Linked DNA regions of Rattus norvegicus. The protein of the gene in region 1 interacts with the protein of each later gene in a pairwise test. Links are inferred from orthologs where the notes say so. Each region holds a gene or a part of one and is shown in the gene's direction. Other genes may lie near its edges.

Evidence for each region.
Region 2: the proteins of Egfr (region 1) and Rapgef1 interact in a protein complementation assay, tested with the Homo sapiens proteins (3 studies listed by BioGRID and IntAct, with this or other methods). The link is inferred for Rattus norvegicus from reciprocal best matches to the Homo sapiens genes EGFR and RAPGEF1.
Region 3: the proteins of Egfr (region 1) and Mapk8ip2 interact in binary tests that used the Homo sapiens proteins (3 or more experiments, as listed by UniProt). The link is inferred for Rattus norvegicus from reciprocal best matches to the Homo sapiens genes EGFR and MAPK8IP2.

Annotation. Positions count from the first base shown.
Region 1 is NC_086032.1:95,500,621-95,504,131, forward strand, and holds part of Egfr (epidermal growth factor receptor isoform 1 precursor), read left to right. Parts: intron 1-971; coding exon 972-1,088; intron 1,089-1,600; coding exon 1,601-1,727; intron 1,728-1,917; coding exon 1,918-1,991; intron 1,992-2,812; coding exon 2,813-2,903; intron 2,904-3,511. UniProt on the Homo sapiens protein: Receptor tyrosine kinase binding ligands of the EGF family and activating several signaling cascades to convert extracellular cues into appropriate cellular responses.
Region 2 is NC_086021.1:33,295,086-33,299,034, forward strand, and holds the start of Rapgef1 (Rap guanine nucleotide exchange factor 1), read left to right. Parts: upstream 1-1,144; 5' UTR 1,145-1,439; coding exon 1,440-1,464; intron 1,465-3,949. UniProt on the Homo sapiens protein: Guanine nucleotide-releasing protein that binds to SH3 domain of CRK and GRB2/ASH. Transduces signals from CRK to activate RAS. Involved in cell branching and adhesion mediated by BCAR1-CRK-RAPGEF1 signaling and activation of RAP1.
Region 3 is NC_086025.1:122,405,164-122,409,154, forward strand, and holds the start of Mapk8ip2 (C-Jun-amino-terminal kinase-interacting protein 2), read left to right. Parts: upstream 1-1,186; 5' UTR 1,187-1,909; coding exon 1,910-1,974; intron 1,975-2,847; coding exon 2,848-2,953; intron 2,954-3,991. UniProt on the Homo sapiens protein: The JNK-interacting protein (JIP) group of scaffold proteins selectively mediates JNK signaling by aggregating specific components of the MAPK cascade to form a functional JNK signaling module.

The DNA of each region.
Region 1 (3,511 bases):
TAGGATTTGGCCTACCTAAATTCAAGTGATGGAAGACCATTTAGAACACACACACACACACACACACACACACACACACACACACACACGGGGAGGGGGGAGAATAATAAGCCATTATAAAGTAATTGGAAAACTAAGATGAAGAAAAATTCACCACAGTCATGCCAGAGACAGGATCTTTGTGTGAAAGCTTAGTAAACAGATCTTTAAAATCTACAGGAAACAAAACCTACAGCAACCAGAGCATATGACTCGCAGATATAGTACCAATGCTCATATATTTTGAGCCTGTGTCTGGGAAACTCAAAACAGGAGCATAGAGTTCCTAGTAATGCTATGATCATAAAATTAATTGAGATAAACAATACAAAGGTGGGGGGAGTGGAGACAAAGATCGGGGTACCTGTCTAGGAAGTAGAACAAACTGGTCCTCTCATTGTCCCACCAAGGACAGCATGGCAGATGGGAAAGGACAAAGCTGGTGTCAAACAAACAAACTGCGGTCACCTCAATGGGACATGGTCTGTCTAATGAGCATTTGTGTGTGTGTGCGTGTGCGTGTGCGTGTGCGTGTGCGTGTGTGTGTGTGTGTGTGTGTGTGTGTGTGTGTGTGTGTGATACATATCCAAGGTCTCCTTATATATTGTAGACATAGACCTGTCAGAGGAAACTTGCGCTCAGCGTGGGATTTTCAGTCAGCGAGCACACATGGTGGCGTTTCCTCCCACAGCCGTTTTGCACCTGAGACCTAGTGGCTGTGTTTCTCCACATTACGGTCAGAAAGTCATTAAGCCAGGGCTTTGTTCCCCTTCTACTTGAAACCTGCCTGTCTTTCTCCTCAAAGTAAAGTCAACCAAACTGAGAGGAACCTTTTCAGCAGCCCACATTCATCAGGACTTGAGGATGTTTGTGGAAAGTTAGGAGCACCTGCTGTGGCCCTCAACACCTTCTTTTCATTGCCTCTTCCTCAGGAAACTACGTGGTGACAGATCACGGCTCGTGTGTCCGGGCCTGTGGGCCAGACTACTATGAAGTAGAAGAAGATGGAGTCAGCAAGTGTAAAAAATGTGATGGGCCCTGCCGCAAAGGTAAGGAGCCTTACGGGTGTGCAGTAGGTTTTTTTCTTGACCTTTGTGCCGAACTCTTATAGCCACCTCCAAACAAACACACCTCAGCCTTTTAACTTAGAAAATAAAAATGCGTTTTGTCTGTAAAGTAGAAGATAAACTTGTAAAGCCAAATTACATGGTGGAGGGTGTGGGGGAGTTCTCTTGAGCCAGGTACGAGGCGCCACCTGCAGCCCAGGGGAGTGATCTGTCGTAGACAGAAAGGGGAGGAGCCGATGTCTTTGTGAGTGGCTATAGATCCAGTCCAGGTAGAAAACGACAGAAAAAATTCAAATCTGACAAGAGGTCTGGGACAAGGACAATCCCAAGCCCCACTCCAGTGACTGATGAAAACAGGCCTGTCACAGGAGTTTTGGTACCTTGAGGGTTCACTCAGAGTCACTGGGGTGGTGGCAGGGTTCATGCTTCTGCTTGTGCAGACCCAGCCTTCTTAATTCGACAAATGTAAATGGAACACCCACCTCTCTTAACAGTTTGCAATGGCATAGGCATTGGTGAATTTAAAGACACACTCTCCATAAATGCTACAAACATCAAACACTTCAAGTACTGCACTGCCATCAGTGGGGACCTCCACATCCTGCCAGTGGCCTTTAAGGGGTGAGTAACAGCCGAGCCATCTGGACGGAGAGCTATGAAGTCTACTTTTTTTTTCCGGAGCTGGGGACCGAACCCAGGGCCTTGTGCTTGCTAGGCAAGCACTCTACCGCTGAGCTAAATCCCCAACCCCTGAAGTCTACTTCTTTAAGCCATGGAGAATGGCCAATAATCACGTTGCTGTTTCTTTCAGGGATTCTTTCACCCGCACTCCTCCTCTAGACCCACGGGAACTAGAAATTCTCAAAACTGTGAAGGAAATAACAGGTTTGTACTGGAATATTCAGGGGCATATATGGAAAATTCAATTTTATAGAGACTCTCAGACATTTCCCCTTCTTCCCTGACATGAGAATGTAGTGTCTGAAGCTTAACCATTGCGATTAATTTTTTTGAGACACTTTTCAAAGCCAGTTTCCCTTGATGCAAGTTGAAACCACTTTAAGCCGAGGCTGCTGCACCCATGATGGACATGATATGGACATGCACAATGGTTCTTTCTTGCTCAAACAGTCCATCATCCTTACAGACGCCAAACGCCAGAGAGAAGATGGAGAGAAGGCTACTAGGTTGAACGCTAGTGGGCAATGCAGGCTCTCGAGTTTCACAAACTAGATTTCAAATGATTGCCCACCAGGGAGTCTTGGATCTATGACCGCCACTGGCACAACATTTTCCTCATCCTTGAAAGGGAGATAACTTGATCTCCAAGACAAGATTGATATGAAGATCAGAGTTAAATTGAAAAAAATATTTAAAAGGAGAACACTGTAACAGGAGATTGAAAAACAGTCAGGGAAGGATCCGGTGTATAATCTGATGTCCTTCAAGGACATCAGAGCCAGAGCACTTGGTCAACCTGTCAGGTGGGAGTTGGCCTGCACATTGAGGGAAGGGCAGCCAGGGATTCAAGGCTGCATAGAAGGGGCAGGATTCTTTCTTTTTTGCCCACCTGACTGTGTCAGGACATACACTATCATCCTTAGTGGTAGGGACAGGAAGAATCCACTGCCACGGTTCATACAGCAGCCTTATCCGAGTCCTAGAAGTATCTAACAGTGTGTCTAAGCCTTTCTTCTTCCTTCTAGGGTTTTTGCTGATTCAGGCTTGGCCTGAAAACTGGACTGACCTCCATGCTTTTGAGAACCTAGAAATAATTCGTGGCAGAACAAAGCAACAGTAAGTTGGCCATAACAAAAGCCTAGTCATTTTTTTTTCCAAATGTGTCTTAAAGAAGAGGTACAAAAGTCACACAAAGACCATCTTCCGCTCGGCTTCCCCTAATGTGAACGACCTACGTGAGTAGATATGAAATTTAAGATCAGGAATCTGACACTGTGCAGTGCTCTTCCCTCAAACGTGTACTTCATTCTGGGCTCGCCAGATTTTCCATGAATGCATCATTCTTTCTCTGCCCTCTCCAGGACCCCAGACTGCATTGGTGTCTGAGGTCTTCCTGGTCCCCTTCAAACTTCCCCAGCTCCTGTCTTTGCTGGTTTTCATTGTCTCGACACTGGGGAAATATGACTGGGCGTTTTATAGGGCGCCTCCCTGTTTGTGTTTGGCTGATATTTGAGAGTGGTGCAGGTGAAAACACACAACATGTCGTCTTAATGAGACAGAAAGCGATAGGAGAGGGATGGTGAGCTTTCACAGAGTAGAAGAAATCCTGTGATTTGTGGTGAGGAAAAGAAATTTGGAAATCTGTAGCTCAAATCTGCCTTGGAAACTTTCTGATTGTGATAGCTTTTTCTGAAGTGCACCACCACTAACACCATTCATTCCAC
Region 2 (3,949 bases), on another chromosome or scaffold:
TCTTCCTCAGCCATTTAAGTCTGGTCAAGCTTGGCAGCGGCTGCCTTCACTTGCTGAGCTCAGATGGTCAGTCCCTAGCCTAGCTCTCTCTCTCTCTCTCTCTCTGTGTGTGTGTGTGTGTGTGTGTGTGTGTGTGTGTGTGTGTGTGTCCGCACATGCACACACGCACATTGTTGATGTGAATTCCATTTTAGCTAAAATCAATGAACAGGGAGTAGCTTTCCCTGTGTCTGAACACCCTCTCGTGTTGCTTACTAAAAATGTTTGACTCTCCAAGCCAGCTGTGAGCTTGTTTGAAGGGAAGAATCCATTGTGTTAGTCTTGGTAGGATATGTATGACATAGTGCATAGCAAAGGTTCTTTGAATTCCCCAAAATAACTGTAAACGAACCCATTAGTATACTTAAAAAGACTGCTCTCTAGGCTGTATGTTCCATTGGAGGACTGCTTGAGCAAAGCAAGCCAAAGTTGCTGTGTCCCTCCAGGTTTGGGCCTAAGCTTTGGCTTGGAAGATCAGAGCCCACATCTGGCCAAAAGGTTCTGCTTTTCACTGGCCCCTGAGTCTTACATAGTGTGTATGAGGTCGGGGGAGTGAAGGTGGGTGTCAGTCCCGAACCTTGTCCAGGCTTCTTGTGTTTTTAGTAAGGAAGTTGTTGAGACTAGTTTAGGGTCAATTAGAGGAGTCTTGGGCTAAGGAGGATGCTGAACTTGGGTAATAGACATGGGGAGTTAGCCCACGACTTGAGATGGAAAAGTCTGGGTTACCGAGGGTTCTGATCTTTCCTGGGAGGGCATGCGGAAGTTCTGAGTTGTCTCTGTCCGTAGGCTTGATCTCTCTCTCTCTCTCTCTCTCTCTCTCTCTCTCTCTCTCTCTCTCTCTCTCTCTCTCTCTCTCTCTCTCTCTCTCTCTCTCTCTCTCTCTCTCTCTCTCTCTCTCTCTCTCTCTCTCTCTCTCTCTCTCTCTCTCTCTCTCTCTCTCTCTCTCTCTCTCAAGAAAGGGGTGGGGTCCGTGCCGAGCTGTGGCACGGAGGACTCCAGGCCGGCAGGGGGCGCTGCGCCTTGCGCCAGGCTTAGCTCGGCTCCGGGTCGGCAGAGGGCGCTGTGGCGCGGGCGGCGCGGCGGGCTTCCGGCAGGTGGCGCCGTGGCCTCGGGGCCCAGGCCGGCGGGCGGGCGGCGGCGCGGCGCTGCGGCCGGCGGCTCGCGGCCCCGGAGCGGCGGCTGCGCGGGAGGTGGAGCGCCAAGCGGCAGGCCCGGTGCGGGCTGGAGCGCGGAGCGGCGAGCGCACCGGCCGCGGCCGCGCGGAGCCCGCCATGACGGCGCGAGTGTGAGTCGCGGCGAGCACCGGTCCAGGAGAGCGGCGGGCGCGCCGGCCTCTTACCCCGCAGCGGCCCGGCCGGGGCCCGTTGAGCAGCGGCCTCGGCCTCCGGCGCAGCCCGGAAATGTCCGGCAAGATCGAGAAAGCAGGTGAGGCGGTCGGGCGGGCGGGCGGGCGGCGCGCCTCCTTGGCTTCATGTGCTCGACCCCCTGTCCGGGCCCCAGCCTGGCAGTGACGCCGCGAGGGCCATCTTTGAGCAGGGCCTGCCTGGCGCCGGGGGGACCCGTGATGCTAGCGGGATTCTGGGGGAGCTAGTGGAGGTCCCGGTAGCCTTGTTCCCTGGAACCTCCCACAATGGCTGGAGTCCGGGACCCTTAGAAGGCCGGGCCCCGACCGCATGCAGAAGGACAGGCGCGCTCTAGAGGTGATCGCCAGCCCAGTTATAAAATGTGTCACTCCTAATGAGCCTCGAGTTTAACCACAAGTGTTCACTTCGGTGGCTTCAAAGGACAGCAGGCTAGGGTGTGTTGGAGCGATGTTTCAGGGAGCAGCCAAGTTGTCCTCCGATATTTCTTCCTCGCTCTGCAAGCAAGGCAAGTGGAGAGCCATAGGGTTTGGGGGAGAAGGTGGATGCGATCTTGATGCAAACCTCATCTCTTTGTGTGTTCCTGGAAATCTTGGGGAGTCGCCTCCCAATTCTTCTCCCCGCCCCCCAGCTTGCATATTCTGGGAGTTAGATACTCCCGAGAGTCAATTACTGTTGTGCATATGGGGCCCAGAGCTTAATTAGCCGTCAAGCAGGGATTCCTTGTATGAGAGGGCGGATTCTTGGCTGCTAGGTGAGGTAGGCAGTGGTCCAGGGCCTGTGTTGGGGGTTGTCACGGTGGGGATACCCAGTTAGCCTGGAAACTCTGTAAAGAAGGCAGAACCTGAAAAGGTGTTCGGCAGCACTAATGTTTGGAAGTTGCCGTTTCATAGGTGGACTTGGGGATATTTGGATTTGTATTAGCTGTGAACCAACAAGCAATGGCTGTAACTTTTGCAGCCCTAGTTTCAACACAGGGCAGAACGTTTTGGTTCTCCTTATTGAGCATCTGTTATGTGTCTTCTCTGTGTTTGGTCTCTTGGTTGTCTTGTTTATTAAAAATACTTGAAGATTGCCTACCGGAGTGTGGTCTCTGTTTTAAGGACCCAGAGAGGCTCAGTGAATTTTTGTAGCCCACCCAGCAAGGATCATAGATAGGGTATTGACATCAGCCTCTGACAAGAAGCAGGATACCATTCTCATGGCTGGACTGTTCCTTTGCAGATGCTGTTTCTGGGGTGTTTGTCTCCTTGTCCTCTTGCCCGGAGGCCTTGTCTGGTGACTATGAGTCGCTTTCCTGAATACGTGCTGCTCTGGAATTATCTCTGGCCCATCTGCGCAGCACTGCTTATGAACTCTTTACAGTGTCTCTTCCGAATGACACTGTTGGGAAACTTGGATTATTTATTTGAAAATAGCGTTCATGTGCTGGAGAGATGGCTGGGCAGTCAACAGCACTTGTTGCTCTTGAGCACCCAGGTTCAGTTTCCGGCACCCATGTGGCATCTCACAACTCCAGTTTCAGGAGGTCTGACCTCAATGGGCACCAGACACACATGTGGTGCACCGACATACAGACAGGCAAAACATTGTTGTATGTAAATGAAATAAATACATCTAGATACATTTTAAATAGCATTAGCTGAGTTTTCTCTATCATTATGAAGAATTTGGAACCCCTGGAAGCACAGGGGCTGGCATGTGCTGTCACCTTGGGGCTTCCTTCCACAGCTCAGAATGACAGAGCCTTCTACTCAGCGTCTACCCCAGGCCCTTTCAGCAGCGCTCACGCCTGGGTCTTCCTAGGCCACTGTCCTCTGCTAGGGCTGCTGCAATGCCCTCTTTAGAAGAGCTTGTCTGAGAATTGGTAGTGGTATCTTCCCTGCCAGACCCATGAAGATTCTGAACCCAGTTGTGGAAGGTCCTGGAAGGCCTGTTCACTAGACCAGGAAAAGAAAGGCTTTTTTTCTTTCTTTCCTTTTTTAAATTAAAATTTTTCTTTAAATCCACCCTCCCTGTCACCCCTACCCATAATCCCTTCCCCACCCCTTCTCCTCTGAGTAATTGGAATCCCCCTGGGTATCACCCCACTTGGGCACTTCAAGTCTCTCCAAGGCTTTCTTACAGAGGGAGAGATGGCGAGAGGGAGCTGCAGAAAGGATGGGAGGAAGGTGCCTTTGGGGAGAAGCAGCTAGAGGTGATAGAGTTCTTGGGTGGCCATAGCTGGGACTCACAGATGAGATGACAGGAAGGAACCCTCGTGCAGTGCTCTCTGCTGTGGTCTGCGTACCCTGCCGGGGAAGATTGGGGTGTGCTTGGGATGAGGGCTTCCCCTCTTGGAGCTACTGTGGGTCATCCTCAGTGAACATGGTGTGCGTTCCGCCAGAGTTCCTGTTTGGTTGTGAGGTGGGCCTGCTGTTAAGCGTGAGCGATGGTGTGCTGGAGAGACACCTTTATTCAGCCAGGTACTGGTCTCTAGTGACTGTGGAGGAGCCCACACCCACTAACAGTTGCTGTTTTCTGTGCTTCAAAGAACAGAAGTGTTGCCA
Region 3 (3,991 bases), on another chromosome or scaffold:
AAGCTAGCCTCAGACTTACAGAGACCCAACTGCTTCTGCTTCCTGTATGCCAGGATTAAAGACACATGCCTCCATGCCTGACTGCTGCACCTTTGAAGCATGACTATTGAGTGATCGTTATTAAATCATTGTGCGTGGTGTGTGAGTGTGTGTGTGTGTGTGTGTGTGTGTGTGTGTGTCACAGCGCCTTTATTCAGATGGAGAAACTGGGTTCTGGTGCACTGAACAGTTGCCTTATGTCCAGAACGTTTGTGGCTAAATGAAGATGGGTATTCACTCTCAGATCCTAAGTCTGGAGAATCCGTGCTCTTGGAACCAAAGAGAAACTCCACAGGAGAAGTGGGAGGTAACCCCTCCCCAGATTGTTCATGCTTTGGGGATCTGGATGTGATCATCTGGTAAGAGGGAGGCTTGTGTGGGGTGTGGAAGTTATAGTCTGAGATGAGTTTAGATTGTACAATTCCAGTGCATCCTGAGAAAGCCTGGAGACTTCTTGGAGAAGTCACACTTGGCCATTCAGAAATTAAGAAGCTGGTTCATGGGGCTGGGGATTTAGCTCAGTGGTAGAGCGCTTACCTAGGAAGCGCAAGGCCCTGGGTTCGATCCCCAGCTCCGAAAAAAAGAACCAAAAAAAAAAAAAAAAAAAGAAGCTGGTTCATCAGGGCACCCCACCTGACTCTCTGAGCCCCTTGTGCTCTGTGACTTCCAGCCTTAACACTCTAGTGTCTCGTTCTTCCTTCAAAACTAATTCCAGTGTGAGGTCCTCTAACTTGTCCAACATAACTTTGATCCTTTCTCTCACTTCACAGTTGGCTCCATTTCTGCCCTTTCTCTCCGCACAGAACTCCGTAGTAAGCCCATGCTTCAGCTTGGAGGTTTTCCATACCTAGAACAGAGCCAAGAGCATAGGTGGCCCCAAGAAACAGCAGTTCGGTTGAATGAACACAGCCTCAACTTTCTGGTGCCCACCACTATCTTTGTCCAGGTTCTTCAGTCTGTACCACACAGAGAAAGTTCAGCGTTGGCCTCTGGGTTCTGGACTCTGATTCCAGATCTATTCACATCCTTTAAGACAGAGTCACTGTCCTAGTCCCATTAGCACTGTCAGGATAATGACTTCTCTAGCTGGAGTCAGCAAATCTTAAGTTTCTTTTGGCTCCATCAGCACCCAGTGGAGAACAGCTCCGACAAGGTCTGATCAGCACCCTGGAGTGGACAGCTCCCTCGGCCACCGGTTAGGCGGTCTAACGGTTTAGGAGGTCTAGCGGGTTAGTAGGTCTGGTGTGTTAGGAGGTCTGAGGGGCTTCCTGACCAACTCTGCTTTTCGAATTTACCGGGCATGAATGCTGTTCCTAAGTCCTCGCCCATCACCCCACATGAGCCGTCCACCTCCCAGAAGCACTGCACACCGCCGTAACTAGAGGCGCACAGACCCGGGCCGCCTTGGTCCTGGCTCCTGGGTCTACCGCACCCATTCCCCCCCGCATCTCTTCGGCTCCTGCAGAAACCTTTGGTCTACCAGCGCCTCTGCTTCCACCTATCCCTTCTCGCCAGTTCGTCGCCTAGAACCACGCAAGCCGCACGCCAGCTTTCCCGACCAGAATCTCACGACCACCACTACCACCGCTACCACCACCACCTCGCATCCCGCATCCCACCCCCCCCCTCGGCTCGACCCCCATTCCTCCGCCCCCACCTCAGGCCCCGCCCTGCGCCACTCCCTCCCCTCACCCCTGCGGCGCGGCTCGCTGCCGCGGTGTCCTGGCAGGGCGCTGAGGTGTGTCGCCGACGGGTGTCGCAGGGCGTGTCACGAGGTGAGTGGGGAGACAGAGGCCGCGAGCCTGAGCACCAAGGGCGCGCGGTGCTCCTCACCCCTCCCCCTCACTGCCGGCCCGCGGTTCCTGGGAAGATGGCGGATCGCGCGGAGATGTTTTCTCTCTCAACCTTTCACTCGCTGTCGCCTCCGGGCTGCAGGTACGCATTCATTCGGCGGGGCTCATCTTCACGTAGGTCTCTTCGGCCTGCCACCCCACCCCATCGACTTCAACTACCCAGGCCGGGGCGCCTCCTTGGTTTGCAGGCCTCTGCCTGATGCTCCCATCCCCCATCCTAGGCTCCGGGTCCCTCCGTGTTTGCTCCTTGTCGCGCAGACCCGATGGCACCCATTCCTCCCCCACCCCTCCCCAAACACAGACACATATTCACTTTTCCAGTTGGGCCACGGAACCGCACCCAGTCAAGGCCGATGACCTAGCAAGGGTGGGGTCTCTGGATTGACCCTTTGAGGGATTTTAGGCAGGGTGCTCAACACCTACTCCGTTCCTGGCAGTGTCCTTTTGGCCTTGTTGTGTCTCCTTCCATAGAGGCTAGGGCCTGTCCCCCAGCCCCCCAGGACGGCAGAGAGTGAAATCAAGCTTGAAGCTCTGGGGGTGAGATGGAGAAGTTGGGATTGGAGGGGGCTGGATCTTTGGATGTAGGCCTGTTCTGTAGGAGTGGGTGGGGACACAAGCAGAACAGCTGGACCCCTCCCTCTCCTGTTGTAGCCATTACCCCTCCCCCTGTGGGTTCAAGGTGTCTCCCCTGAGGCTGAAGCTGTGGCCCACAGGGGCTGGGAGCTGAGCTGAAAAGGAGTGGGAGGGGTTTGTGGACCGATGCCTCCTCTGGGCTCATTTGCAGTGGTGGAGGAGGGGACCCAGGGGAGAGCAGTGCCTGGGGTCAAAATGACGTGGCTTTAGCATATGAGTGGAGGGCCCTGGGAGCTGGACATTTCCCACCAATGTCCTCAGGATCAGCTGTCAGGTCAGGAGCCCAGGACAGGTGACTCTCTGACCCCCGCACCCTCTTCAGGCCTCCCCAGGACATAAGCCTGGAAGAATTTGATGATGAAGACCTATCTGAGATCACGGACGACTGTGGCCTGGGCCTTAGCTACGACTCCGACCACTGCGAGAAGGTGGGGAAAAGGGCTGGGTGTGTAGGGTCTGAGTAAGGAGAGGTTCACAGAGGCTCAGTTTCCCCAGCATTCTTGTGGGTTTAGGAGTCTCGAGTTCAGCTTCCATGTAAAAATTCCTCTGCTCTTGCTGATAGCCCCTTGGTGTTGGTCTTCTTTCCTAACACACTGTTGGCCAATCAGAGGGCCTTCTCTGGCAGATCTCCCCAGCGTAGTGCCACAAGAGGAGGTGTGGGCCTTTGCTTGGGTGCTTCTGTCCTAAGATCACTCACCACGAAGATCTAAACCCTCCAGTTTCTACCAAAACTCAACCTCTGTGGCCTTGTCCAATCTCATCTCCCTCTAAAATCTTTCCCCTTCAAACCCTCCGCTAATACATGTTTCCATTTCCATTCGTTTTGAGGAAATGCCACGTGTCAAGTGCGGGGGGGCTTACAGGCATTGAGAGCACAGCCAGATAGCAGCCTCACCCCACCCCAACTTTCAGTTTAGCGGGCGCGGAGGGGCAAATAGAAGTGAGAGATGGTGCTCACCCATATGCCAGTGGCCCCGTTCCAACTGGACACAAAGCATGATGGGGGGAGAGCGGGGGAGGGAACCCAATCAGACTGAGGGAATCAGGAAGACTTTCCAGAGGAAATGTCAGTCTTAGAACCCCCAAGGTTAGCAGGAATCAGGCAGATGGGGTTAGGTAGGAGGATGTGGAAGAGAGGAATTGCTGGCAGAAGGTCTGGCTATGCCAAAGACCCTGAGTTTGGTACAGATTTGGTGAATCATCAGAGTGAAGGCTTTCCACACTGATGTATTCATCTGTTACTTACTGATGATGTTCCCACGGGTGAGTACCCCAGTGTACAGTGTGGACATGACCTGTTCTGGTGGTCTTACAGTTTGATGCGTAAGCCACAAACTGTGAATTAAAAAAATGCGAGGAAGGCAGCAGACCAACAGGGTAGATATGATGGGGTTTGGGGAGGGGGCGAATAAAGCTGGGAGGTTAGTTGAGGTTATTGTGAAATGTCTCAGACTCTGGGCCCTTCC